Astyanax mexicanus: one gene and its partners. The protein of the gene in region 3 interacts with the protein of the main gene of each other region in a pairwise test. Links are inferred from orthologs where the notes say so. Each region holds a gene or a part of one and is shown on either strand. Other genes may lie near its edges.

Region 1 (8,733 bases), on a different chromosome or scaffold from region 3:
TTGCATTTTCCTTTTTTTTCCCCATTCACATTTCCATAAACCACTGTTCTGCCCCACAGGTGTACAGAGAAGCATTGATATGTATTTAAAAAGAGGCTTACTATTCATTTTTTTGGGGTTCCTTAACCTTTTATTTATATTTGCTTATTTGTACCATATAACTTTTATATCGCAGGCATTGCAGTTGGGAGTTTTTCAGAATGTCATTTTCACTGCTCAGTTTTGAAAATTCTTGTTTATATTCTTGCTTTAGATTAACTACTGTATATCTGTACACATTATATAGTAGTGTAAACACACCAATCTTTTCCTTTTTTTTTTTTTTCTTTCGTTTTTTTCTTAGGGCAAAAAGTTGTATTTCAAAACGTATTTTTGTATGTAATGTATTCTGCCTCCTTTAAACTGAGACCATAAAATTTCACAAAACCCCATCAACAGTGTGTTTGTCTTTACTGCTCATCTGTTTATAGAACTCTGTAAATTCCATTGTGTTGCATTGGAGAGTATATTTCCCCATAGGAAGTTTGGTGGAATAATACTTTTCTGCTCCTGCGCTGGACAGTGGGCCGAAGGAAACCTCAGGCACTCTGCCTCTGAGAGGAAAAGACAAGCTGTACTTAATCTGGCAGCGTGATTTAACCATTAAAACCCTTTCACATGGTGCAAGAAGTTTGAGGTTGTGGTTACTGGAAGTGAAGGAAGGAGGAGAAAAGGATGGGTAAATCCATGTATTACTTTGAAATGAGAATAGTAGTTAGTGTTTAGTTTATTTCTTAGGTTAAAAGTAATAAATTAAATACTGAATATGTTTTTTTTTCTTTTTCGTGTTCGGGAGAAAAGGGGGAAAAATAGTTTTCAGTTAAAGCTACTTGTTTGAGGACAAACCATCGCTCCACTTGATTGTTGTATTTGTTTATTGGCTGAGAAAAAGGTTCTGCCTTGATTTTGACTATGTAGCTGTAGTTCTCTAGGTGTGTAAGTGTTTAAAGTCGCCAATTTTCATTTTCTTTACCTGACCAGTCCGCTGGATCTTTATTACTTCCTTGTTCGTGTTTGCTTTCTGGGAGATTCCCATTCGCCAGTGTGCGCAAGTGACGTGGCGAGGGGATTCCCCTTTCTTATGACGGCGGGTAAGAGCAGTGATCCAGTCCCCCACAGCCGGTCCACACCTACTACTACAGCCCCCTCTAGACCGCTCAATTAGCGAATAGCCTGGATGGATTCGGGTACCGCAATGTGAAATGTAGCACAGGAGGTGATTGCACACATGGCTCGTGCACTGTCGGGTGAAAAATGCTCTTCAGATATATTCTTGCTTTTTTGATTCAAGAGGCTTTTATTATCATTTCATCTAAGTTCAAAGTGAAATGAACCAAGATGCAGCATGGAACAAACAGTACTGTATAGACGACAAAAATGCAAACGTGCAACAATAAAAGAGCACCATTTTAAAATGGTGCACTTTTATTGTAGATGTACATTCTGAGGTACAGCATATAATTAAGGTGCAGCTGCTGATTACACTAGAGGTAGGGAGGTAACAGCTTAATATTAAACTAGAAAGTTCTAGTAAATCGCCTAGACCCTCAGTTGATCAAATCATTTGATTTTACCCCACTCGCATAACGGCCTACTTAAGCTACTTTATTATCACCTCAAGACTATTGTAAAAGCGTTCCAAGATGGAGCCATCTTTAATAAAGGCTATAAATTTATGAATATTGCGTTGCTGTTGTGTTTTATTATTGAGTCTGCATTTTAGTCAGCAACATAGCTAAGGCCATAAAGCTAGATAGAAATGCTGTTCAGTTCGTGGCTGTTATAATTAAATTACAACTTTTTTTTCTGTCGTTTCAATAAATATATATTTATTTATTTTATATATGTTTAGGATTATTTCTGCTTGGTTCTGGTGCTCAACTCTATGAAAAATCTCCTCTAATTGCTCTTTTTCAAAATAATAACAAACCTTTTTTTTTGTGTGTGTGTGTGTGTTTACATGGGGAAAAAATCTATTATTTTAGGAAGATATATTAAAAGAAAGAAAGTAATGCAAACTCTGCATCCTAAAAGGCAAAGTGCATACAAAAAAATAAAATGTTCATTTTTGGTTTAATTACATCTTTTAATGTTGTTGAAGAAAAAATGCCAAATTGCCATTGGTTAATGTTGAAAGTTCTACATTAAATCACCATTCATTTAAAGGTAATAACAAATAATTGTTATAAATATTTAATGTAAATTTAAAGTGTTTAAGTAAGTTTAATGTAAACAATACATATTAAACCAAAATGTTGGCTCAATATGAAATTAATGTGCACAAATATCAAATCAATTGTTGGAGGTCCACATTGTTTGGAAGAAAATATGAAGATTAATCCAATGTTCATTTGCCCTCTCGGTTACAGTCTATGAAAAATAAATGTATAAATCTGATTATTAACTCATTTTTAACAGCCCTGCATCTAATCCTCGTTGCCATTATTGTAGTGTTGTCAGATAAATATGTACTTTGACATTTTTATTAAATAAATAATTAACGTTACTTATAAGTATCCTTACAAAACACACTTGATGAATACATAAAGCACATTAAAAAAAGAATCATTTTTTCAGACATATTTAGGCAACTTGTTAGAACTTACATCATGTGCTGTATGTCATCTAGCCAGTCCATCTCTCTCTCTCCCCTGAAGTCTTGTACAAAACCTACATTTGAAAGTTTTACCCATAGACCTGTACTTATATATAAGTATTTATACAAAATCTGTGGTTTCACCCTAATTGTGGCTCAAGCTCCATTTTGATTTTAAATGTTTTACATGAAATTGTTAAATTACCTGAAACAGTAAGTCATTTCCAGCAACCGATAATAGACATTGTTGTCAAATCCTTGATTCATGTGTTCATTATTGGATCCTGTATTATATTACTGTGCATGTTCTCAAATTTCTTATGACCCATACTGCATATGCGCTTTCACAGGCCCTGCTTAAACCAGTATCTGAGTTCAAGTGGCATTTCAATTGTTCTTGACACTGAATGTAATCACAAAATATTCCCAGCAGTGTGTTAACTTGTCCCAAGTGTTAAACCACCCCACATCCATATACAGGATATTCCTGCAGCAAAGAAGGGGCACACATCCTACTAGCAAATCTTTAAGAAACAGAGCAGCACTCTTGAAGATCACTCAAATGTTCTTGGGAAAATATGGTATGAAAAGTGTAGTTGCTCATATGTTCTGAGGAAAAGTGACCAGCAAAGGTCCAAACTCATTAAACAGTGTTGGTTAGTATGGCATGGCACAGACAGTCAAGGCCCTTTTGTAAGTATGTAAGGATAATGCGTGGATAACTGCAGTTCAGATTTGATCGGTTCCTCACACATAGGCCAACAATTGAATCTGCAAAACACAAACATTAGTAGTGAGTAAATGGTATATATTGTCGTATACATAAATCAACTGTAAGCCTTCACCCTTTGGCAAGCTTTCTGACAGTCTGTAAACATGATTTAACCATACTGATCATTCCCAAATGAAAGGAGCAGGAGCAAACAATAGGTTGTGTGAATGTAACCAAGAACTAACAATAGGGAGAATATAACACTGTTAGAAAACAAAAGAATGCACAGTTGTGTGTTTTATTAATAAAAAAAGTTGTTCTACCCAAAATTACTATAATAAAAAAATCTGACACAGAATAGGTATTATTTGGGTGGTGGGTCATTCTCGGCATTGCAGTGACAATGGACAGCATCCTTTGAATACTAAATAAGATCTCCAGCGGCACTGCTGTGTCTGATTCACTTGTACAACTGTGACACACACTAATACTCCACCATAAGGTCAGTGTCACTGCACTGCTGAGAATGTCTTAATATGTTGTGGCCACAAGTTTTTGTTATTTTTTTTACATGATGTCACTGTAAGGGGCGCCATAGTAAAACATTTGTATGACATTAGAATAATTATAAAAATATATAAATACACAATAGTTAGTAATCAGATATGTTGTTGGTCAGTAAAGTTATTTATAGGCTGAGTATCAAATTATTTAAAAGAATTAGCTTTGCTGAAGAACTATTTGGTTGGTTTGGTTGGTCCTTCAGTGAAGGACAAATTGGATAAATTAGGACGTGGAGGATAACTGTAAATATTCAAGTCTAGTCAAATGAAGTAGTTTTATTGTCAAAACTGCATTTGTACAGGACATACAAAGAATTGAAATTACATCACTCTCCTTCCCAAAGTTACAACAAGTAAAGAAAGTACAGAAAATAAGAATATAAATATAACAGAATGAGGGGCATTAGATGTACAATACAACAAGGGCACAAATACGTATGTGAGACAAAAGACACAAGACAATAGTGCAATAGTGATGGGGAGGGGGGGTTAACTAGGGATTGATGATACAGTCATATGAAAAGTTTGATTCTGATTAAGATTAATAGGGGTGCCCAACCTTTTTCATTTGACTGTATGTATAAACATAACCATTATAACAGTAGTGCAAATGTAGAGAAAAAAAAATTAAAAACCTAAGACTGGTAAAGTGAACGAGTGCATACAGTTCTTCTAAAAAATGCACAGTTGTAGGGGGAATTGAAGTTGTTTAAATTATTTTTTACAATTAAATTATTTTTGAAATTAAAATTATCATATTAAAATTATTAGGAATTAAAATTGTTAGGCCTTCTCGTGGTTTATTTAAACCCAGCTTACCTATCAGATAAATAGCTTTATAGACAATTTTGTTTAGTTCTCATCATTTTTTAATTATTTAGATCTTTATCAATGGACCAATAGAAAAATAAAATATTTTTTATTGATTTCTACTGATTTTTTCAAGCCTTTAAAAGTTTTAAGCTTTTACGTTGCCTTTTTTGGAGAAACGTTATGCGTTTTGTGTGATAGCGATAAAACAAATACATTTTAATCAAAATAAAATCCATTTTTTTAATGAAGTGCTACGTATAGTCTCCTGTGTGTGTGATTGGCTATGGACGTGCGGGGGGGGCGGAGCCAGGCGGCGGGGGGAATTCCCAAGCGCCCTTCACCTCTGGAGTAACACTTCACTCATTCACTTCTGAACATTCACACACACTCACGTACACACACTGATCGCTGCAGCAAGGGGCTCCACTAGAATGGATGGTGAGTTACAAGCTATTAATTAATTCACGCCTTTTAACAGCTTTCCTAGAATAATTATAATATCTGTGATATATATTTATATATAATAGGAGTACACAATCATCCAGACTGAGAGCTGTGACTAGTATAGCCTGCTGTTTTTGTTTGGTTAATGGATGTGATATGGAATTACATGAAGGTGTTAAACAGTTTTCAGTCAGAAGGTTAATGGATGGGGCTAGATTAAGATTTCTATGTGTTTACGTGTTTGATTCTAGTAATTGTTTTGTTGCTAGATAGCTTGTTACTTGTTGTAACTTGAATAACCAGTTCTCATGTGTTAAATTACTGATTGCTGCTTGTTTCACAATGTTTCAGAGGGAGTGTCGACTAGAAACAGTATGAAAACCAATCAGTGCATATGTTGTGTATATTATGTTTATAAATATAACTTCCTGACAAATTATATTAAAAATAAAAAATAAATAAATACATGAATAAATAATAATAGTAATAATATTTGATGGTAGAAAGTAAGCTGCCATAAAGATTTGACTAAAATCCATGACGAATAGGCTAGTCTAAATCTGCACCAGGAAATCAAAATGAGGAACCTCAGACTACTGGTTTTGACTTCAAGTTCCCATTTGCAGTATTGTCAGCAAATGCCTTGATTTTGCACTTGATTTTTCAGCTTATTGTTATTATATAATGTCCTGAAATATTTTGTCCTCTTTTTTTTGCACAGCTCATTTTCCCCCAATGAACAGTAAGTTCATATCATTCTTTTTAAAAAAGTGTAAAGCTTTTCTGTACAGCCAGCATGCTTATAACTATCTTATAACTATAACTGCCTTTATAACTTTCTTTTCTTTGTCTGCTTCCTTAATTTCTTTATTTCTTTTTTTTGTTCTACCACGGTTTGGGTTGCTTGGTTAAGGTAGTAGAGTAGTAGAGTGACAGCCACTTCCTGTCTATATGTGTGTGTGTGTGTGTGTGTTAGATAGCAACATGCAGAGCAGGTAGAGCAGAAGTGAGTACGTGAGGTCAGCTCAGGTAGAATATATCGCTGTACAACACAGTTATAAGGACTATATAAGGTCTGTGTGTATATACGTAGCTATACGCAGCTATACACAGAGCAGGAAGAGCAGAAGTGAGTGAGTGAGTGCTTGAGGTTAGCTCCTAGGTAGAAGATATTGCACAGATATTACACACAGCTATAAGGAGGCTGTCTGTGTGTAATTTATTCAGATCAAATCATTCTCATCCTCGTAAGTACAGTCTTAGAATTGTACAGGCCTGAAATGTGCTGAAATGTGAGTACAGGCAGTCACAAGGCAGACTGTCTTATTTAGACATCTGCACATCTGTATGACGAGAGGAACCTTACAACAGGAGCCGTGAGAGCCCTGAGTGTCATCTCGTGCCACACACAGCTGTGTAGTCTGAACAGGTGTTTAACAGAGCTTCGACAATCATAATCATCCTTTGTGGTCCACTGTGGTCCACTGAGATGGGAGCACTTGTGAGAAATACACTAGCAGGTGTAGCCGAAGGGGAAATTATTTGATGTGAGTTGTGTGTTGGCAGTGGTTTGAGCAGATTCTGAGGAATGTGCTGTGGTCTGCAGATGTTTAGATGTTTACAATACAGCGGGTCTCCGAACAACCTCAACATTTCTTCTAATCAATATTATACTGTCTGCCTGCTGTCTGCTTATCTGACTTGATGCTTGCTTAAAACCTGTCCATAATTAACTATATATCATAATCTTTGCCCTTATTCATTTTTTTTTTACATAAAAAATAAAATGTTTTAGTTCGATGTAGATTTCTTTATTAGTCAAGGCACTTAAAGGTACAATAAGTAGTTTTTCTGAAAAAGACATGTTAACAAAAACAATGTTTACCAGCCATAGGGTCTGCATCACATCAGCTTAAAATAAAGCAAACAAACATGTAGCAAAATTCTACATATTGCACCTTTAATAATAATTATAATAATGTAACTTACACAATAGAAAAGAACATAATGAAAAAGAAAAACAGATTACTCGCAAAAAGGAATATGGGGTGATATGTGGCTATTCATATGGATGGATCAGTTAGTTTCTGTGCCTTCTAAAATTAGCTGATTAAAACTGTTGTATATTAATTCAGTCAATACTCACTGCCTGACTCCCGTTCTCTTTCTTACCCTGTCTTTCATTAGTGGGAGAGCCCTGTGTTCAGATCTTTGAGCAGCCCAAACAAAGAGGCATGCGCTTCAGGTATAAATGTGAGGGCCGCTCAGCAGGCAGTATACCTGGAGAGAAAAGCTCTGATAATAACAGGACATACCCAAGCATTCAGGTACAGATTATTATTATTTTTGTTTTAAATAAAGATTTCTCCAATACATTACTTCACGATTTCTCTGTATATTGACCATTTTTCTAACTAACTACTAAATACTTTCTTTATTTCTTGTCAGATTTTGAATAACTGTAGAAAAGGAAAAGTGCGTGTGTCTTTGGTAACCAAAAACGAGCCCTACAGGCCACACCCACACGACCTGGTGGGAAAAGACTGTAAGGATGGCTACTACGAGGCAGAGTTTGGACCTGAACGCAGGGTGATTGCGTAAGTCAGCACTAGCTGTTAGCTAACTCATGAAGGCTGAATTAAAACATGCTGAATCGTAATGTTTTATACATTATATTTACTTTACACTCAGATGAAATTGTACTATAAATGAAGGAGTCAGTAGACAATGTTTAAAAAAAATCTGTTAACTAAAAAGATTCACAGTTTTTTTCTTTTTAAATCTCCTTTTGTCTTGTTGCCATTTTTTCCTAATGAAGTTAAAGCATTACTGAGCTCTACATCAAAGTCATTCCTGTCTGCCTCTTCTCTTTGTGGAGCTTAATGTCAGAATACCATACACCCACATATCCACACCCACACACAAACACTATGTACATGCTGCTACAGACCTCTGTCCATCTTTTTTTAATATAAAAAAAAAATGATCTCAGAGAAGGGAAACAGCAGGGGGATTCCCCTAATATGCAAAATGCGTACCTTAGAGCTGCAGTGTTTTGTCCATCCCCCAAAATTATCTGCCTGGCCATCTCTCATGATTCACAACCCAGAAAATCTATATAATTGCTTTTGATGTGGTTCGTGTTGGATTTTGAATGAATGGAACCATAAATGTGTATTTATTTCACAGCTTCCAGAACTTGGGCATCCAGTGTGTGAGAAGAAGAGAAGTTAAGGATGCCATAATGCAGAGAGTAAACAGAGGCATCAACCCCTACAATGGTGAGATCAGATTTTCATATTAGTTTTTTTATATCGCTCTTACTAGTCGTCAGAAATCAGTCTCACAAAGTGTGTTCATATTAGGAGAAGTAAATAGGTCAAATGCATGTTGACACAAGAAGCTCACTGTAAATCACTACACCATACAGACCAGTGACTGACTTCCTTTATGTTATTCCTATAGTCATTGTGTTCAGACTACGGTGGTATCATTAGTGTAAGAAACAAAAATGTCACTTCTCTTTTTTTTTAAGCAAAACTGTTGCACAACTGGCTGCGGTGTTG
Region 2 (8,825 bases), on a different chromosome or scaffold from region 3:
GCCAGAAAATAGGAAAAAAATGTGTGTGTGTGTGTGTGTGAGTGTGTGAGAGAGTCTTCCTGTGTGAGTGCTGAGACTCCCTTTAGTGTGAGGGGCAGGAAGAGAGAATGGAGGAAACATTAACGAATCAAAGAGCGGACCCCCTTCACCCCGCGCCGCCCCCCCATCAAAGGTAGCCCTGAACTCTGACCTCTGTAAAAACATGTAAAAATATGTAAAAGACAGAAAAAAGACCAACAAAGCATTCTCTCAGACTGCACACACTCTTACACACACACACTCTTACACACTTACACACACACTCACACATTCCGCACGCCTGCTTCTTTCTCACGGAACTGGCATATAAATTATGTTGTCTCTCAGCCTGAGGTCTTTTCTGATGGAGGACTTTCCCTTTTCTTAAAGCCAGAAATTACACTAACGTGCCAAAAGTCATGGGACAGATGTACAGTACCGTGCAAAAGTTTTAAGCACCAAAGCAAATTACACTTATCCATTTATCTCACCAATATGAGTGTTTTTACCTGAAAAAAAGCATCACATATGATTTAAACAGATGCAAATAAACATACATTAAACATACAGTAAAACGTAACAAGGAATTCTCATTTTTAAGTATGTGTAGAGATTCCAGATTTCTCCTGGATGCTCCTCAGCCAGCATGTGTATATTATGTTCAGTTCCGTCAGCAGCTCACCTGATTTACCACATTTACCAGTAAATTACCAAACCAGGTGTTGATTAATATGATGAGAACTAGAACTAACTCTATTAAACTCAGATTAACAGGAGAGATTAGGAGACGTTTTAAGGAAAAAAGGGCTGTAAAAGCTGTAACTGCTTTTTGTAAAATTGCTGTTTGCATTAATTGTAATGCTGTAATGTGTTTTACTGAGATAATAAACAAACACTTACTGTACAGATAAGAAGCTTTTTCTTTACTGAAATTCCAACAGGTGCCTAAAACATTTGCACAATACTGTATGTATATATATACATATTTCCAAGAGAATTTGCAGTTTTAGATATTAAGATATTATTCAATTCATTTATTACTTTTTTTTAAATAAAATGTAGGTGATTATCTCCTATCTGAGGAAAACAGATTTTATATACAATAGCCCAGCATTATTACATTAATATAAATAATAATAAAAAAAAAACATACAGGTTTGATAAGGGTCCTCTGATTATAAACTTGATTATTTTTTATTCATTAACATTTTATTAATTTCCATCAAAATTAGACAGAAAGGTACCTTACTGATCACAGAGAAAAAATCTGGAAATTTTGTGGGGCATGTTTTATCAAAATTCTCAGGAATCAGTAGATAGCTGGATCAAGTATGGAGGAATGAGACTGGATCCATAGTCCAGAAGAAGTTAGATTGATTCCCAGGGTTCCAGCAGGGTTGGAGGCCACTAGTTTGAACCAATGACTGGTTTGAACCATCCTGTCTAAAATACTCCTGTAATTACACAATAAATCACACGGTGGCGCTGTGGCATCACCAACGCTCCACTCTTCAGCTCTTCTAGCGGCCAGCTGAACTTGATGGATCAGCAATCAGAGGTGCTGTACTGTATTTTACAGCAAAAAATAAATAAACCGACGTGTTTCTTTGGCATCTTTTCATATTTATATATTTATATATTTATATACTATATTAACCAAAAAAGAAAATGTTTTAAAATGATCAGGATTAAGAAACAGAAGAAGAGATTGGAGTAATTGAGTATAAAATAAATTAAAATTGTACCAGTGAGCAGGGTTGTGTAGCTTCTTCAACAAACAAACCAACAAGCCATAAAATTAGTTTTATTATTTTAATACACTGTTACATAGCCTTGCATTCTGCACGAAATATACTGTTAATTATGTATAATATACACGTTTTTGGTTATTACTCACTTCGCGTGAGAGAAGTTGTTTATTAAATTATAAGGTGTAAACTGAGGTTGACAATGTTTAAAACGGCGCGTTTTTGTATTTCCATCTGTTTTTTGTCAAATTGAATTTAATGTCGTCAGCATAATATTCGCTTTAATTTAATTTAAAGCGAAGCACCATCAACACCATTGAGAATCGCTTGCATTAAAATTATAAAGTATTAATATATTAATTAATTCAGCGAGAAATCCGGATCCGTTAAGTTATTGTTTTCGCGTCAACGGGAAATTCTTAACGCGCGCGCGCGCACATATATATATCATACGTGCATATTATAAATAGCGTTGTGCAAATAGCAAAATGTCACATTTTAAATTTTGAAACAGCCTCTCTCTCTAGTTACGATCTAACAGTGTTTGATTTTTTTTATATATATAAACGCTAAATTCGAAAACTGACATATATACCTTTACATATACACAGACATATAAGCTATATATGGGTGTATATATGCATTAGGATGCACCTATTCACCTACTGACGTATATTCATGTGTATCACCCACTTCCATTGTTCACACATTTGTATAACATCAACCTCCAGCCATTCATTCAGGCTAACTGAATTATTAGTGAACAAAAAAAGGGCGGAGCTAAACAGATGACAGCTGGTGAAATGTATTCCCTCCTAGATATTTCACTATCAGAAACCAAAGCAACTTAACCAATAAAGTGTTTAACCAATTCTTTGGTGATCAAAGAACTCTAATGTCTGTTTACATGACCAATTATTAGAAATTCATTTTAATCACACTTTAATTGAAATTTTGTGGTTTTAATATCACATTACTTTAAAGGAGAACTCAGGTGTAAAATGGACTTTTGTTGTAAGCTTGTGTTATGGGATGTAATGTGTTTTAAATATCAGAGCTCTCTGGATTCTAGCAAGGAGGTGTGGAGCTACTTTGAGCTGGATAACAGTTTAAATAGTGATTTATCAGGGTAAATTATGCACCGTATCTCCCAGTCTGAAGGGTGTTTGGACAAACTTAAAATTTCTGGATCTTAGAATGCTGTGGGAGAACGGAGGTGTGCTATTCATCAAATGTAAGTACTTTTTATCATATTTTACTACAACAAAAGTCCATTTACACCTGAATTCTCTTTTAATGTTGGTGTCAGACATCATGGTTCATTTTGTGTTGCGTTTAAACCCTGCCCACTAGATAGCAGTGTTGTACTTGTACTGTTTCTGGATCCTACTGTTTATCTAATTAGAAAAAACAACTACACTGTAAAACCCGACAAGTTGACTAAACTCAAAACATTTGTTGTAACCGATTACCTAATACATTTTAAGTTCATGTAATATAATTTTTAAGTACAGTGAACTTAACAAATACATATACATATATATTTTAAATTATATTGTATTCAGTCTTCTCTGGTTTCGTTCAACTATTTTTTAAAATACTCATAGAAAAGTAGATGAAAGAAAACAGTAAAGAATTAAAAGTACTGACAGCACAGCGAGAACACAAGAGTTACTGCAGCTCAGTAAATGATGCTTGTTCTTACAGCCTACAACACAAAGACCAAGTATTTAATCATAATAAGTGATCTACAAGTTTACCTAAGGTAGCCCAGAGGGAATCATTACACACTGATGGTGAGTGCCAGAAACTGTTGGACACACCCAGTATGCAAATAGATTGTGACAGAAGCCAATGGAAAAGAAGCTGCCAATGGCAACAGACTAAACTCAGTTATTATAAGTTGGTTCAACTCAAAGATCTCAGTTTGAATAGTACAGTATATGTGCCCACAAATTAAGTTCAACTAACTCAAAATAGTTGAGTATTGTTTAGAAATATCCAATTTTATGTAAAAGAGACTTAAATTTGAGTTCAAAAAGCTTCTGGGATTACAGTGTACATTTTATAAATATAGTGTATTTTTTGCTATGAGGGACTTTTCCTGATATTTTTTTTCTTTCGTGTATTGTGATCGAATTTCGAATTGCCATGTTCTTGTCAATACAATATCTGCACGCACGCACAGAGAGAGAGAGAGAGAGAGAGAGAGAGAGAGAGAGAGAGAGAGAGAGAGAGAGAGAAATAAATAAATAATGTAGGCCTATACACTGGATAAGCTAAAAATAATATTTCTTCTTCTGTTGTTTATTACACTTATGCCTGATAATCATTATCAAAAATGTTAATTCACCAGTAGTTTCCTATTAAATAAATGTATACGTCTAAATCAAATGAAATAAATATTATACTTTATAAATATTCTATATCATATTTGTATCAAATTTTATACGAACGGTTTCGTCACTTTCTTTGTCATTTGCTATGTTCTGTATATTGTGAAGTAATTACAGAATACACCTGCTGAACTCTTCCTATTGGTTGTACGTGTGTTCAGCAACATCAATATGTTTTAGATATTGTTTCCACCTATTTGACGTATTTTTTAAAGTAAATTAAACTGATTTATTGGAAGAAACTCTGAACGCTTTTGATTTTGACGTGATCCTACAAGCATTTTATTTTATGTATTTATTTTTTACACATTTTTATCATTCTGCATTAAATAATAATCTATATACCATTAACTGAATTAACTAGCACTGCATTTGAGTGCAGTATCCTACCATAATTCAGTAACGTGCTTCAGTGAGAGCTGTCAGAGTCGCGCCTCGGTCGCCCCGGTATAGCTCCGCGTGCGCGGCTTTGCTCTCCTCCAAACACGCGCTCCGCTAAGTGGAGAAAACGGCGGACTGTGACATGCAATTACTTGTTATGCCTTCTTCTTTCCACGCCCTTGTTCGCACAAAGCCCCGCCTTATTTTTTTTCAAAGAGCACTGTGATTGGCTGGTAGATCATTAGGGTTGTGTGTGTGTTTTTTTTAATCCACCTGTTTTCAGGTTTTCTGATAAACCCAGCGCTAAACTATTATCTGCTGCTGATGATGATGCTTTAACTGTAGTAGGCGGGGTTTAGGTGCGAGTGCGACCTGGCTGGTAGCGAATCATTGTGCAGTATAGTGCAGAAGACTGGTGGATATTAGCCAATCCCAAGACAGGAGGGGCGGGGTTATTGGGAAAAAGGGTGGGAAATGAAAAGCCCACGCGGTGGTGGCGGGCTCCGCGGTTGAGTGCCCTGCTAATGGAAGTACGGGGGCTTGCCTATGTTTTTTTTTTTTTTAGTTGGGGGTGGGTGGTGGGGGGCGTCTCCTGCGCACACACGGTCCATCCCTCTTCCCTTTGGGGCTTTAGTTTGCTTGTGTTTCGTTCCCACAGCTAGTCACATCGGATTCCTCTGGGAAAGAGCGCAAATCGGTCCCGTTTGAACACGGGGAACAGCGCGCGCGGGATCCGTCCGCCGCCACGAGGGTCTCCACCTCTCCCTTTGCCTGATTTCAATATCGCTCATTGATTTTGATTTGATCAGAGCATAAACAAAACAGAAAAGAGGGGAAAGGCAAATAAAGAGGAAAAGAGGAAGGTTGTGGATAATGACATCTGATCTATAGCGCGCCGCCAGAGCCGCCGCTGATGATCATCCAGTTTTTCTTAAAGTGACATTAGATTTTTTTTTATCTCTTCTTTTTTCGCTCACGAGCCATCAGTGAAGATCTGAAGATCTCACCGGGTATCTTATCTCTCACGCGTCTCCCAAACCTTGTGCTTGACAGCGCGAGATTGCTTCCACGCGCTACTTGTTTCTTTTTTTGTTTTGTTTTTATTTTCCTTTTCATTACATTTGAGTAATTTTTTGTACATTTTTGAGTGGACTAGAGAAAACCAAGGAACACTCCGAGACTCCATCTGACCTGTCCAGACTTCAGCCTCGATTTTTACGGAGAGATAATTTTTTTGTGGAGCGATCAGATTTTTGCCAGATAGGACAGAAAGAGAAAAAGAGAGACGGGGACTTGGGGAATAAATCTGGATAAAGAAAAACAATAAAAAGGAAAAGAAGAAGAAGAAAAATAAGTGACTTGGGAGAATAGACAAAAGTCCGCGTGCTCATGTTCGGGATCCAGGAGAGCATTCAGAGGAGCGGGAGTAGCATGAAGGAGGAGCCGATGGGCGGCGGCATGAACGCGGTCAGGACGTGGATGCAGGGCGCCGGAGTGCTGGACGCGGCCACCGCCGCGCAGAGGTGAGGAGAGCCGGCATCACTCCCCGCACATCACTCCCGAGCATCACCCCGCGCATCACCACCGCACTCTCCAACACACAGCAGCCGCTCCATCCTCACACCCAGCCCGGACAGCTCGCTCAGATCCAGCCGATTTAATTCCACGCTACTGTCCAAGCTCAGTTTGCAGTGTATAGACCCACGATTTATTATTAAATTTGATTTTAGATTTTAATGCAGTTTTTGCCACTTGCTAAAAACACGTGAAATGTGATTAAATTTGCTATAAAAGCTAAAACACTTTAGGAAAGTACCTTATGTCACCAGCTTATAAGAGCATATGCTTACTGATTGACTGAATGACAAAATAGAAACAAAACAAAATTGGCAAAAAAACATTACAAAGTCTAAACAAAAACATTGTAAAATTACGTTGAAATTGTAAGTGTGTGATGATAAAAAACAAAAAACCCTTCACCTCTTCTTCTACTCTTGAACTTGTGCCTTAAAATCTAACAGCTAACAGAATAGTGTAATTTCTCTTCTTCATTTCTTTTATTTTCTTTTATTTCATTTTATTAATGAACGCAAAAACTAAACTAGTATAAGCAATAAATAAAGTAATTGTTTTTTGATATCTGCATTTGCTATGGCGTGGACGAATATTATATTTTGTACTTTTTGTTTGTTTTTGGTTTATTTTAAATAAATAGTTATAATAATTTAAACTGTGTTAAATGAACAGCATGTTAAATCTAATGTAGCGTATTCTATATTCTATACTAAGACGCTCTAACAGAGCGATTTGACTTTGATTAATTAATGCTTACACAAAATTAGATCAGACAGAAGCTATCAAATTCAAATACAAGAAAACAATTCCCTGTCAACACACAAACATCCTGATTCTGATTTATTGATAAATCGTACATTTTCTCATGTAAACTGACGTGATGCTCGATTGTCCGACAGTGTTAATTTATATGCGTGTGTTTTGTGTTCGCGTGGCCGCAGTGGAGTGGGTCTGGCCCGGGCTCACTTTGAGAAGCAGCCGCCGTCCAACCTGCGCAAATCCAACTTCTTCCACTTCGTGCTGGCTCTGTACGACAGGCAGGGGCAGCCCGTGGAGATCGAGAGGACGTCGTTCGTGGGATTTGTGGAGAAAGAAAAGGCAAGTTGTGTTTTATCAGAACCGAGCTGAACCAGAACTCAGTAGGCCTGTGGATCTGTCTGATCACATGCAACACTCAAAAAGACAAAAAAAAATTGAAACGGATTTGTAGTTTATAATAAGATTTTGACCTTTTTTTAATTACCGCTTTATTTTTTGTTGTTCATCAAATACAATTTATTAAAAAAATAGGGCCCATACTTCTCATCATAGACCATCTTAGAAGCGAATACCCATTTAAAACCTCAAACAGTTTTGTATATAGTACTTGTTTTAACCAGTATTGAGTGGGTTTTATTTGATTGTGTCACATTTGATTTGTTCTTTTAACAGAAATTAATAGAATGTTTTATACAAAATTGCCGCTAAAAATAACCGCTTAAAATAAATAGACACAGGCGCAGTGTGTTGTGTTTTAAAGCGGCGCAGTCTATAGATTATATACTAATCTGCTTGCTTATTTGAAACTTTATTTTTTTGGCTTATTATTAATCATTTATTAGTAGGCCAGTTCTGGACACTTTTTTGTATAGCTGCTAGAGCCCGCTCCCACTTTTTCGCTTTCTCACTTTTCCACTTTTCTGAAGGCTAGATAGATGTCAGTGCAGCTCCAGTGCGGAGCGGACCGCGTGTGAAACGCGCACACACACACAAACACACACACACACACACACACGAAATATCCATACTATTATTTTGCTATTTCTGTTTTTACGTTTTCTCTTTTTTTCAATCTCTCAGTATCTCATTTCTTAGATTTTCTCAATCTCTCATTTCTTCACTCTTATTAATTTATTTATAAGACGCTATAAATTATTATACTATATTTACTGTGCTGTATGCTGTCAGTTCAGTAAATTTAGCTGTTAGAATCAGCAGATCTGTCTTATTATTAGGTTTATTATAATAAACTGGTTCTGGTTCTGACTGTTGATGATGAATGTCTTTGTTAAACCCAAAGTTTCAGAGTGGTCAGGACTGGATTGGGGATACTGGGGGTCTTACTGGAGTGGGATACTGGGGGTCTTGCTGGGACGCTGCTGAGAGGGGTCTTCCGCTGGTCTCGCGCTCTGCAGCAGTGGGACATAATGTGGACATTTGTTTGTTTTTGTAGGAACCCACCGGAGAAAAGACAAACAATGGGATTCATTACAAACTACAGCTCCTCTACAGCAACGGTAAGCACGTGCAGTCATTTCTTACGTAGTTCAAAGTATTTTTTTTAAGAAATCAGAGAATAAACAAGTTAAAAAAAATAGAAACTAAAATGACGTGACTAAAATTCGCTAAAACATTAACATTAACGCGATGAAATTAATTTTGCTTAAATCCGTTTGTTATAGTTTATATAGTTTAGTGTTTAGTGAAATCGTGTTATTATTCTTATTCTTCTCATCATCCTACTACTATTATGTACTATATCTTTGCTGTCCAATGAAAAACTATTATCTCAGGTATCTTTTTTTTTTTTAGCTCACTACCAAATTTAAACAGACAAATGTTCCCTTACACTATAACAAAATTTACTGATGAACGGACCAATAGAAATACTTAAACATTACATGAAATAAACTCTTTTTACATTGACCTCCATTGAAAGTTCAGAAGG
Region 3 (8,218 bases):
CACATTAGATCAGCATAATAAAAAAACGATGGCAAAATCACTGTACTGGTGCACTATCACACTTTCTCCTCATTTATACACATGGATTACTGATATGCTTGTGTGATGTGGCTGTACTAAACTTTGACCTATGAATGTACCGTTAGCCATTTCTAACAGATCACCGCCTTACAAAAAAGTACAACTTGGCAGTTTCCTGTTAATGAAGTCAATATGGAGTCAGTTACCATGTTTATGATGTCTTTAACTGTGTTTGTTCACTGGCAAGTCATCAACAAATTATGGTCATATTGATTCTGTTGAGCAACCAGTTTATTTAATTGGCAGATTCTGAAATGTGTGGATTGAGCAACACAGCCATTAAAGGAAGAGAAGGATTTCAGAGAGCAGTAAATGCAGAAGTCAATACTGAGTATTTTATAGCAGTTAAAGGAAAAATATCTACTAAATCAGAAACTAAAATACAAACAGATTTCTGCTCTGTGATGGACAATTCAAAGAAAAGCATACTGGCTGAAAAACTGGTGTTAAAAGGGTGCCAGAACTTAAACTTAGCATGTTTCATTAGTGTCTGATTACACATGTTGATCGTTTTATGAGTTGGTAAAGGAAATAAATACACATATTGGTCACTTTAAAAAGTTGTGCTGGCTGAAACACTCCTTATAACTTTAGTGTGAATGGGTGGGCATAACTGTAGGCTAAACAAGCAGAATTATTACAAGTATGTGTGATTACAGACACAATTATTTAAAAATTAGTAATTTCTCTGTTTGTGTGAACATATATAAATGGAGATAAATTTATACTATAAAAAAAACTACATACATACTTCAATTATAAGATTTCAGTACAAGAAAGTGCCATAACACTGCTGTCTCTTCATTAAAAACTGCACAGTGTAATATATAATACATAATGAGAGTAGCACTGGAATAATCACAAAATTGGTTACAATGTTTTATTTTTATAGTGATTAAACAAAGATATAATACTCAATAAAATCTCTCATACATTTAAATTCAAATCTGTGTAGTTTTGTCTTGTGGACTGTGGACTTCTTTTCAATGTCATTAGACAGCTCAGCACACTTATGCTATCCATACATTACTTAACTCTCTGAAAAGACTTTTAACAGACTAAAGTCTGACACCCCCTCACATCTAAAGAGAAGTCACAGACTGTTTAGTCACAGACTCGTCACAGGCTAAGATTTTGCAGGGGGATTACTGGGGATCACTAATTGCAAGACTGCAACTAGATTCTTTCTAAGATTATTTCCCATCATGCTTCTGGTGGAGTTTACATACAATACATATTAGAAATTAAATTACAAATAATGTGTATATCAATCCTGTGATTTATTAGAGACTTTCAACGTTTGCCCCCATCAACAGTTAATTTTTATTAGTTCTGGATATTTTTTTACTATAATAAATTTTGTGTTTAACAACTGCCGATAAGTTTATTTTCCCCATTTTTTTCGACAAACTTGTATAGCAAAGGATCACAGTTTCACGGCTATACATTTGGCTTTGTTTAAGATAGAATTAATGCAATAAAGAACATCATTCTTGAAAAATGTGTATTTATTGAACTTGTTTGTATCACAAATAACACTGCACAAAAATAACTGTGCAAAATAAAATAACTTTAAACATAATGACTTTAAAGTGCTGCCTGTGTTTAAAATACACTATATATTAAAGTAAAAACCATATAAGGCATATTAATTGTAAAATGTGTTCTTATTCAAATTGTTTCTAAATAGTCACAAAGAATATTCTTCCTTTGCAGTTTCCCGTAGCTCTCCTATTGGTTGTTGACATTGTTAAAGTCACTATTTGCATGAGCCAAGTCTCCAGACTTACGATAATATTAAAAATATTAAACCACCAGACGCGAGCATGACTGACTAAAACTTTCAATCCTAACCACACTGAATGATTGAGATGACGCGACCGTGACTCGACTGCAGCACGACTCTCGTGATTTTATCTAAGCAACAGATGGCTGCAGGAATACAAAGGATGAAACTTATTCCCTTGAAGACAGTACTAGCACTGAGACAGTTGGGCCCCTCATATGGGCCCCACATATGGATGTCAGTGATGGGCCCCATCAGGGCACGAGATGCAACCATGAGGGGTTTAAGCATGGCCTTATCTGAGTTGTACACTGAAAAATTTAGGTAGTGCGGTAATTAAAATTAGTTTCCTTATAGCTATGTACACTATATGTTAATGCAATATAACTGTAACGAGCAAGTGACTGCTCAAACGGGCCTGTGTGTGTGTAAGAGGTCAACCGGCCCTGGTCTCTTGAGGACACTCAAGAGTCTTTTTAATTAACAGATCATCAGGCCAATAATAGGGAGGCACCAGCCTCCGAGGTCTCGCTTCAGAAGTTAACAATTTTTCCTTGTATGCTGGCCAATAGCTCGTTAGCAAGATAGATAAGAGCGAACGAGGCAGGTGAGGTCTTCTGAGGACGCTCAAGCTTGCTTTTAATAAACAGATCCTGACTTGACATAATGACGAAACCGAAGGGGTTAAGTAAGTGGAGCCTGAAGCCCACCTGTGTCCCAGCCCACTGAGAATGGTCAACCATTTTTTTTATGCATAAAACCTAATGTTTTTAACTCTTTAAATCAGAAGACTTCCGGTTCTGATCTGCTTTGTAAGATTGAAACTACCTGCTAAATAAAGCTGTCTTCTCCTTTCTTTTAAAATTGATTCTGTCTGATTTTTAGTTTTGGTTTTATTTTTCAACAAAGTTGTACTTTTAGAAGAACCTAGACAATTTCAACAAGATGTGGTAACCATCCCAAGAGACGTATTTAGACACGTCAGTAGGCTGTAAACTCAGCAGGGCTCCAGTAAATAAATATACAGTATATGTATCAGTTCTGCATTAAGAACAATGGACGATAATGTGAGTCACCTAGTATGGGAACACATTGTTGTTTGTAGATCAGTTATAACACAGATATATTAAACAGTTTAACAAACAAAATATTTTGCCGATTTGCACAAATTCCTTGGACCTAATATTTTGTGTGAGCATAGAAGATCACTTTGTTTTATACTAGTCTGCAGGACGTCTGGAGGGGAGTGTGAGCATATGTACGTATGTTTGGAAAGTTGTCTTTTAATGGAACAGGAAACAGCTGACAAGCTGAAAAATTATGTCATGAGACCAGATGATGAAACTTATAGGAAAATCTATCCATATTTATAAGAACTAGCGTTTCCTCTGAAGAGATTATTTTTATAGGTTTTCCACTGAAGTATCTACTGACTTGAATGACTGGTTTCCAAAAACCTAAAGAATGAAGTGTGGTAAATCTTGTGGCAGACATGCATCCTTATTTGTGGCTACTGTTGCAAAATGAGTGAATCATTTAAAGTGATAGCTTTCTTGAGGTTTATTCACTCTCACCTTTTTTTCTGGACATGGGAGTGCTTGCTTCAGTGAGTTTGGTTTGGTATGTTCAGAGAAGAATAAAAGCTGTTTTTGAACCCAGCCTTGGTCCAGAGCACTGATCTTGGACTGGGGTTCGCTTCAGGTTGACACTAGCATGTTCCACTCCAGGTATGGGAGTTATCTGCTCCTGGGGCTGCGTGATTGGTTCATTTTGTTATGTAACTGCTTCCACTTATCGCATTACTTCCTTCTCCATCAGTATGTGATAATTAAATCACTTTGTTATGACAGGAGCTAGGGAATTTTCTTTAGCTCCTGCTTGCTGAAATGCTGCACATCCCAAAGGCACTGTTTGATGCTGCTTGACTTTTTGTATTCAAGGCAATTTTTTTTTTTTTTCAAAAAAGCATGCACACAGTGAAGTGATGCATGGAATTGTGTGCTTCTGATGGAATTCTTGTGCATAGACCAGCGATAATGAGCTCTTCCCACAAAACAGGCACAGAATAGGTACTGGGTGTAGAGCCGATGAATCACTAATAAACTGAACGAGTCAGTAGCAGTGTAAAGCACCCACTCAGTCAGGTTTCTGTTTAGCTTTCTATTTGCGTGTGTATGAAACGAAAGCGAAGACAGCACTTTTCTAAAAAAAAATTCTAAGAAAAATTACTGACTTAGAGCCAAAACACACTGTTAGCATGATAGCATGCTAATAGACTGTAAGCCTAGGACTCAAACGCCAAGCCAATGTTTATACAGTTTTTTTTTTTGCAGACTCTGTTAAGATCTGTTTTATAGCTAAAATCTTTAATATCTTATGATTATTTTATTTATTTATTTATTTATTTATTTACCTTTTCCCCAATATATGTTCGAGTAGAGTTGTAAGGGTGGGCACGATTATGTTGTATTGTTGGGGGAAATTCCCTGTCTAATTCTTCTTCTTCTATAAAATATTAATAAATATATATTTTAAAATCTTAGAATTGTGGTTGACTACATCTGTTGCTTTATTTGAATTCAAAAACGTCTCAGAAAAGTCAGTAAAAAGTGCGGGTAGTATTTGAGCGGACGCGTACCATAAAAATGAGCGGTGTTTTGGCGTCCCCTGCTGGTATTTTTTTTTCTACAAGAGTTTCATCAGAGCAGAGACTACGCTTTGGGACTTTTATTTTGAAAATAAAGCTTTTCACGAAAGTCAACGTGAGAGGAAGGTCAGCGTGGGAGAAGTTGTATTTGCTGGCTGAATAGACTTTATACTGTGGGATCGTTTTGTTTTCATTTTAATCAGATTTTCTGCGCTATAGTGTCTAAATGGATGATTCATTCATGAGCGACTTAAGCTAAGCTAACTTGCTAACGTCTTCAGAACGTTTACACAGCAGCGACTCGTTTCCACACGTTGAGATTCGCGATGTTACCGGGTTTATGTCGGTTTCACGGGCTGGTCAGCCGGGCTCTTGTGCCTCTTGCTGGTCGGCAGGTGGAGTTAAAGTTATTGGGATGTTCAGCAAACGTGCAGAGAGCGAGATACGCCACTCCTGCGACAGGTGAGCGAATTTCTGCTTATAGACATCATATACATAAGATATCTATGGGCTCTGCTCTGCACTGTATTATTATTATTATACTGATCTCTGTTTTATTATAGTGTTCTCTTGTCACAGTGTTTTAGCTGCATTTTAAATGCCTAAAAGCGTCTAATAATGTATTTTCGCAGAGCGTAAGAAGTTTTATCGGGACGTCACGATCTCTCAAGGTGAAGGTAAGCATCACTCCACAGTATTGTACTGTATTACAGCTGAACAGCAGTCAGTCACGCAGGCCTTGCATTGATCTAATATCTGGGCTGGGTGTTGCTCAGCTTGCTTGATTTTGACATATGTAATATATATTTATATTTTTAATATATATATTTATTCCATAACCAACTGTGATGTGTGTGTGTGTGTGTGGTCAGTGTCCTGTTGGAACACACAGTTGTATCACAGCTTTATCAGTCTTACTGAGAGTTTAAGGGTATGTTTTAGGCAGCAATCTACCAGATTTCATCGTGCTACCACCACTATGCTTAACAGTAGTGTTACGCTTAGCAGTTTCATTTTCTAAACGTTTCAAGCTAAATTTTCGAAAATAGAAAATTGGCTGTAAAACTTAATTATGTCAGTTTTCTATTTGGTATAGTGAAAAGGAATTGGGGTTTCATTCAAGTTTTCTAGTTTTTCATTTTAGCATTTTGCAATCAGAATAAAAAAAATAATTAAAAAAGGGAAACTTCTCTCGATTTTCTTATTTTTCCACTTTTGTGTCTCAAATATGAAGCTTACATTTGTTACAAGATGCCAAAGTTGATTTAAAAAGTGTTTTTTTTTCTTTTCTGAAATTCCAATCGTGAGGGGCAGAGGTGAAAAATAATAAAACTATACTACACTAAATATTAAGTAATGATTTTTTTTACATTCATTTTTTTCATATAACCTCAACTGGTAAGAAAATTGAACTGATAAACATTACACTGACCTTTGAGGTTGCTCTACTCCTTCAGATTTTTTGTCTCATCTGACCCTAAAACTTCTCTCCAGGAGGCTTTTTCTGATCAACTGCAAACTTTAGATGATTTCTGATTTTGAGCATATCTTTAACAAAAGCTTTTTAATCCATTGTGATATAAAAATGTCTGTATGATAATAAAACTGGTGTTTTAGGAGCTTCCATGACAGGCCTGTGATGTTTTACAGCATGTAATATGTACAGTTGTTTGAACTGAGGATCTTGGAATCAATTGATCACATCAAGTTGATTAAATATGGAATTCAGTATTAATGTGCTGACACAACATAAATTTAGTTTGTCCCTGCCAAACACCACTAGTTAATTTGATTATATTTAGTAACTCATCGTGTAATTAAACAAAATTCATTAAAATGATATGAATATGATGTAAATGATGAATGTTTTCTTCCTTGTGATCTGCAGGAGGCCTTTATGAAATCAATCTAGACAGGAGAAAGCTGAAGACTCCAGGAGGGAAACTCTTCACTGTGCCAAATGAAGCCCTTGCTATCGCTGTTGCGACAGAGTGGGATGCTCAGAAGGACACGCTCAAGTTCTACACCATGCATCTAGTGAGTTACTTTAATTAAAGCTTAAAATGTCCGACTCTGGTGCTCTTTTGTTTGTGAAGTAGTTTATTTCAGTTGATGTTTAATGTTTTCTGTAGACCACTCTGTGCAACACAGCCCTCGATAACCCGACCCAGCGGGACAAAGACCAGATCATCTCTGCTGCACTGAAGTTTCTAGAGACAGATACAGTTTGGTATGCTAAACTTTTATTTGGAGGGTTATAAAATGTGCAAGGGCTGGTATTAATTGTTAAGCATTAACTTTGAAGATGGAAATGGATCTCTAGGAAACAATATTTTGAACGATTTTATCTGACCTTCCTGCATTCCTTTTAGTTACAGAGTAGAAGAACCTCCAGGACTTGTAGAACTTCAGAAAAATGAATGGGACCCTGTTCTGGAGTGGATTGAAAAGAGGTAAAATGTGAAAAAAACTGATAGTTATTTTTAATGATATAATAATCTTTGCATTACATTTTGCATTGTAACTGTGGCTGATCATTATTTATGTCTGTAGGTACAATGTTGTCATCGGTTCATCCTACAGCATAATGGGCCCCCAGATCCCAGAGGAGACAAAGGATACTTTTCGTCAGCATCTTAAATCTTATAACGTCTGGTCTCTGATTGGTACGGATGAGCATTGTTTTTTTTTTTTCCTCAGAATAGTGACGGGTATTATTTTTTTCTGCAAAAAGATATCTATTTGATATTTGTAATCTAGATTTAAATATATACATGCATTGTTTAACTGTAAGCAGAGTATCACACTTTTTTGCTTACGTACATTTTCAGAAATGAACAGGAGTGGAGTTATTTATATATTAATCTCTGTTCTGTAAATCTCACATTTGTCATTCCAAAAATTACTAAATGATTGAATATTTCTGCAGGGCTTGAGTATGTGATAAGTCAGCTGAAGTCTGTGGTTCTATCATTGGGGTTGATTGACAGACACCTAACAGTAGAGCAGGCAGTTCTACTGTCTCGCCTGGAGGAAGAATACCAGGTATGAAAAAATAAGCACCAATAAGCTATACATTTATAAATATAAATAATGTTTAATAAAGATATGACCTGACATGTTTGTTGGTGTAACTGTCTCTGCACTGAATAGAGCACATCTTTCCACTCTGCTGGGGGGCTTTATATTCATCTAGTTCAAGTCTGTCATTATGTCTGCTCCAAAGAGTGTCTTTCTAATGCCAATGCTTCTATCTATGCTTTGCATTCTGTGTCAGCAATGGGTGAAAATTTAAATAACGTAATTCATTAATATGAAGGGGTGTCCACAAACTTTCAGATGTATGTATGCATGTTTTTATATATACTGTTTATTTTCATCTAATGTCCTTTTAACAGGGTCATTGACTTGTGTGGTATTTTTTCTCATCTAGATCCAGCATTGGGGAAATGTTGAATGGGCTCATGACTACGACATGTATGAGCTGCGAGCTCGTACAGCAGCAGGAACCCTGTTTGTTTATCTGTCATCTGAGAGTGCTACTGTGAAGAAAAAAATCCTTCAGGACTGATATGGCAAATCTTTAAGACAGATGTGAAAACCTTGTTTTTCTGGACTTATGTCTTTGCTTGGATCCTCTTTAACATGGAACATAGAAGTGAAAGTTCTGCATTAGAACATTACTAAAGCTGTCTACAACTTGT

Evidence for each region.
Region 1: the proteins of atpaf2 (region 3) and rel interact in binary tests that used the Homo sapiens proteins (3 or more experiments, as listed by UniProt). The two-hybrid records come from large-scale screens. The link is inferred for Astyanax mexicanus from reciprocal best matches to the Homo sapiens genes ATPAF2 and REL.
Region 2: the proteins of atpaf2 (region 3) and ebf1a interact in binary tests that used the Homo sapiens proteins (3 or more experiments, as listed by UniProt). The two-hybrid records come from large-scale screens. The link is inferred for Astyanax mexicanus from reciprocal best matches to the Homo sapiens genes ATPAF2 and EBF1.

What each region holds. Positions count from the first base shown.
Region 1 is NC_064414.1:37,478,267-37,486,999, forward strand, and holds the start of rel (proto-oncogene c-Rel), read left to right. Parts: upstream 1-5,075; 5' UTR 5,076-5,154; coding exon 5,155-5,161; intron 5,162-5,888; coding exon 5,889-5,909; intron 5,910-7,354; coding exon 7,355-7,494; intron 7,495-7,615; coding exon 7,616-7,764; intron 7,765-8,356; coding exon 8,357-8,448; intron 8,449-8,733. UniProt on the Homo sapiens protein: Proto-oncogene that may play a role in differentiation and lymphopoiesis.
Region 2 is NC_064417.1:50,638,014-50,646,838, forward strand, and holds the start of ebf1a (transcription factor COE1-A), read left to right. Parts: upstream 1-5,167; 5' UTR 5,168-5,932; coding exon 5,933-6,066; intron 6,067-7,059; coding exon 7,060-7,216; intron 7,217-8,330; coding exon 8,331-8,394; intron 8,395-8,825. UniProt on the Homo sapiens protein: Key pioneer transcription factor of B-cell specification and commitment. Recognizes variations of the palindromic sequence 5'-ATTCCCNNGGGAATT-3'.
Region 3 is NC_064422.1:24,662,741-24,670,958, forward strand, and holds the start of atpaf2 (ATP synthase mitochondrial F1 complex assembly factor 2), read left to right. Parts: upstream 1-4,603; 5' UTR 4,604-4,840; coding exon 4,841-4,976; intron 4,977-5,146; coding exon 5,147-5,191; intron 5,192-6,402; coding exon 6,403-6,551; intron 6,552-6,646; coding exon 6,647-6,744; intron 6,745-6,886; coding exon 6,887-6,967; intron 6,968-7,067; coding exon 7,068-7,180; intron 7,181-7,443; coding exon 7,444-7,559; intron 7,560-7,947; coding exon 7,948-8,085; 3' UTR 8,086-8,218. UniProt on the Homo sapiens protein: Plays a role in the assembly of the F1 component of the mitochondrial ATP synthase (ATPase).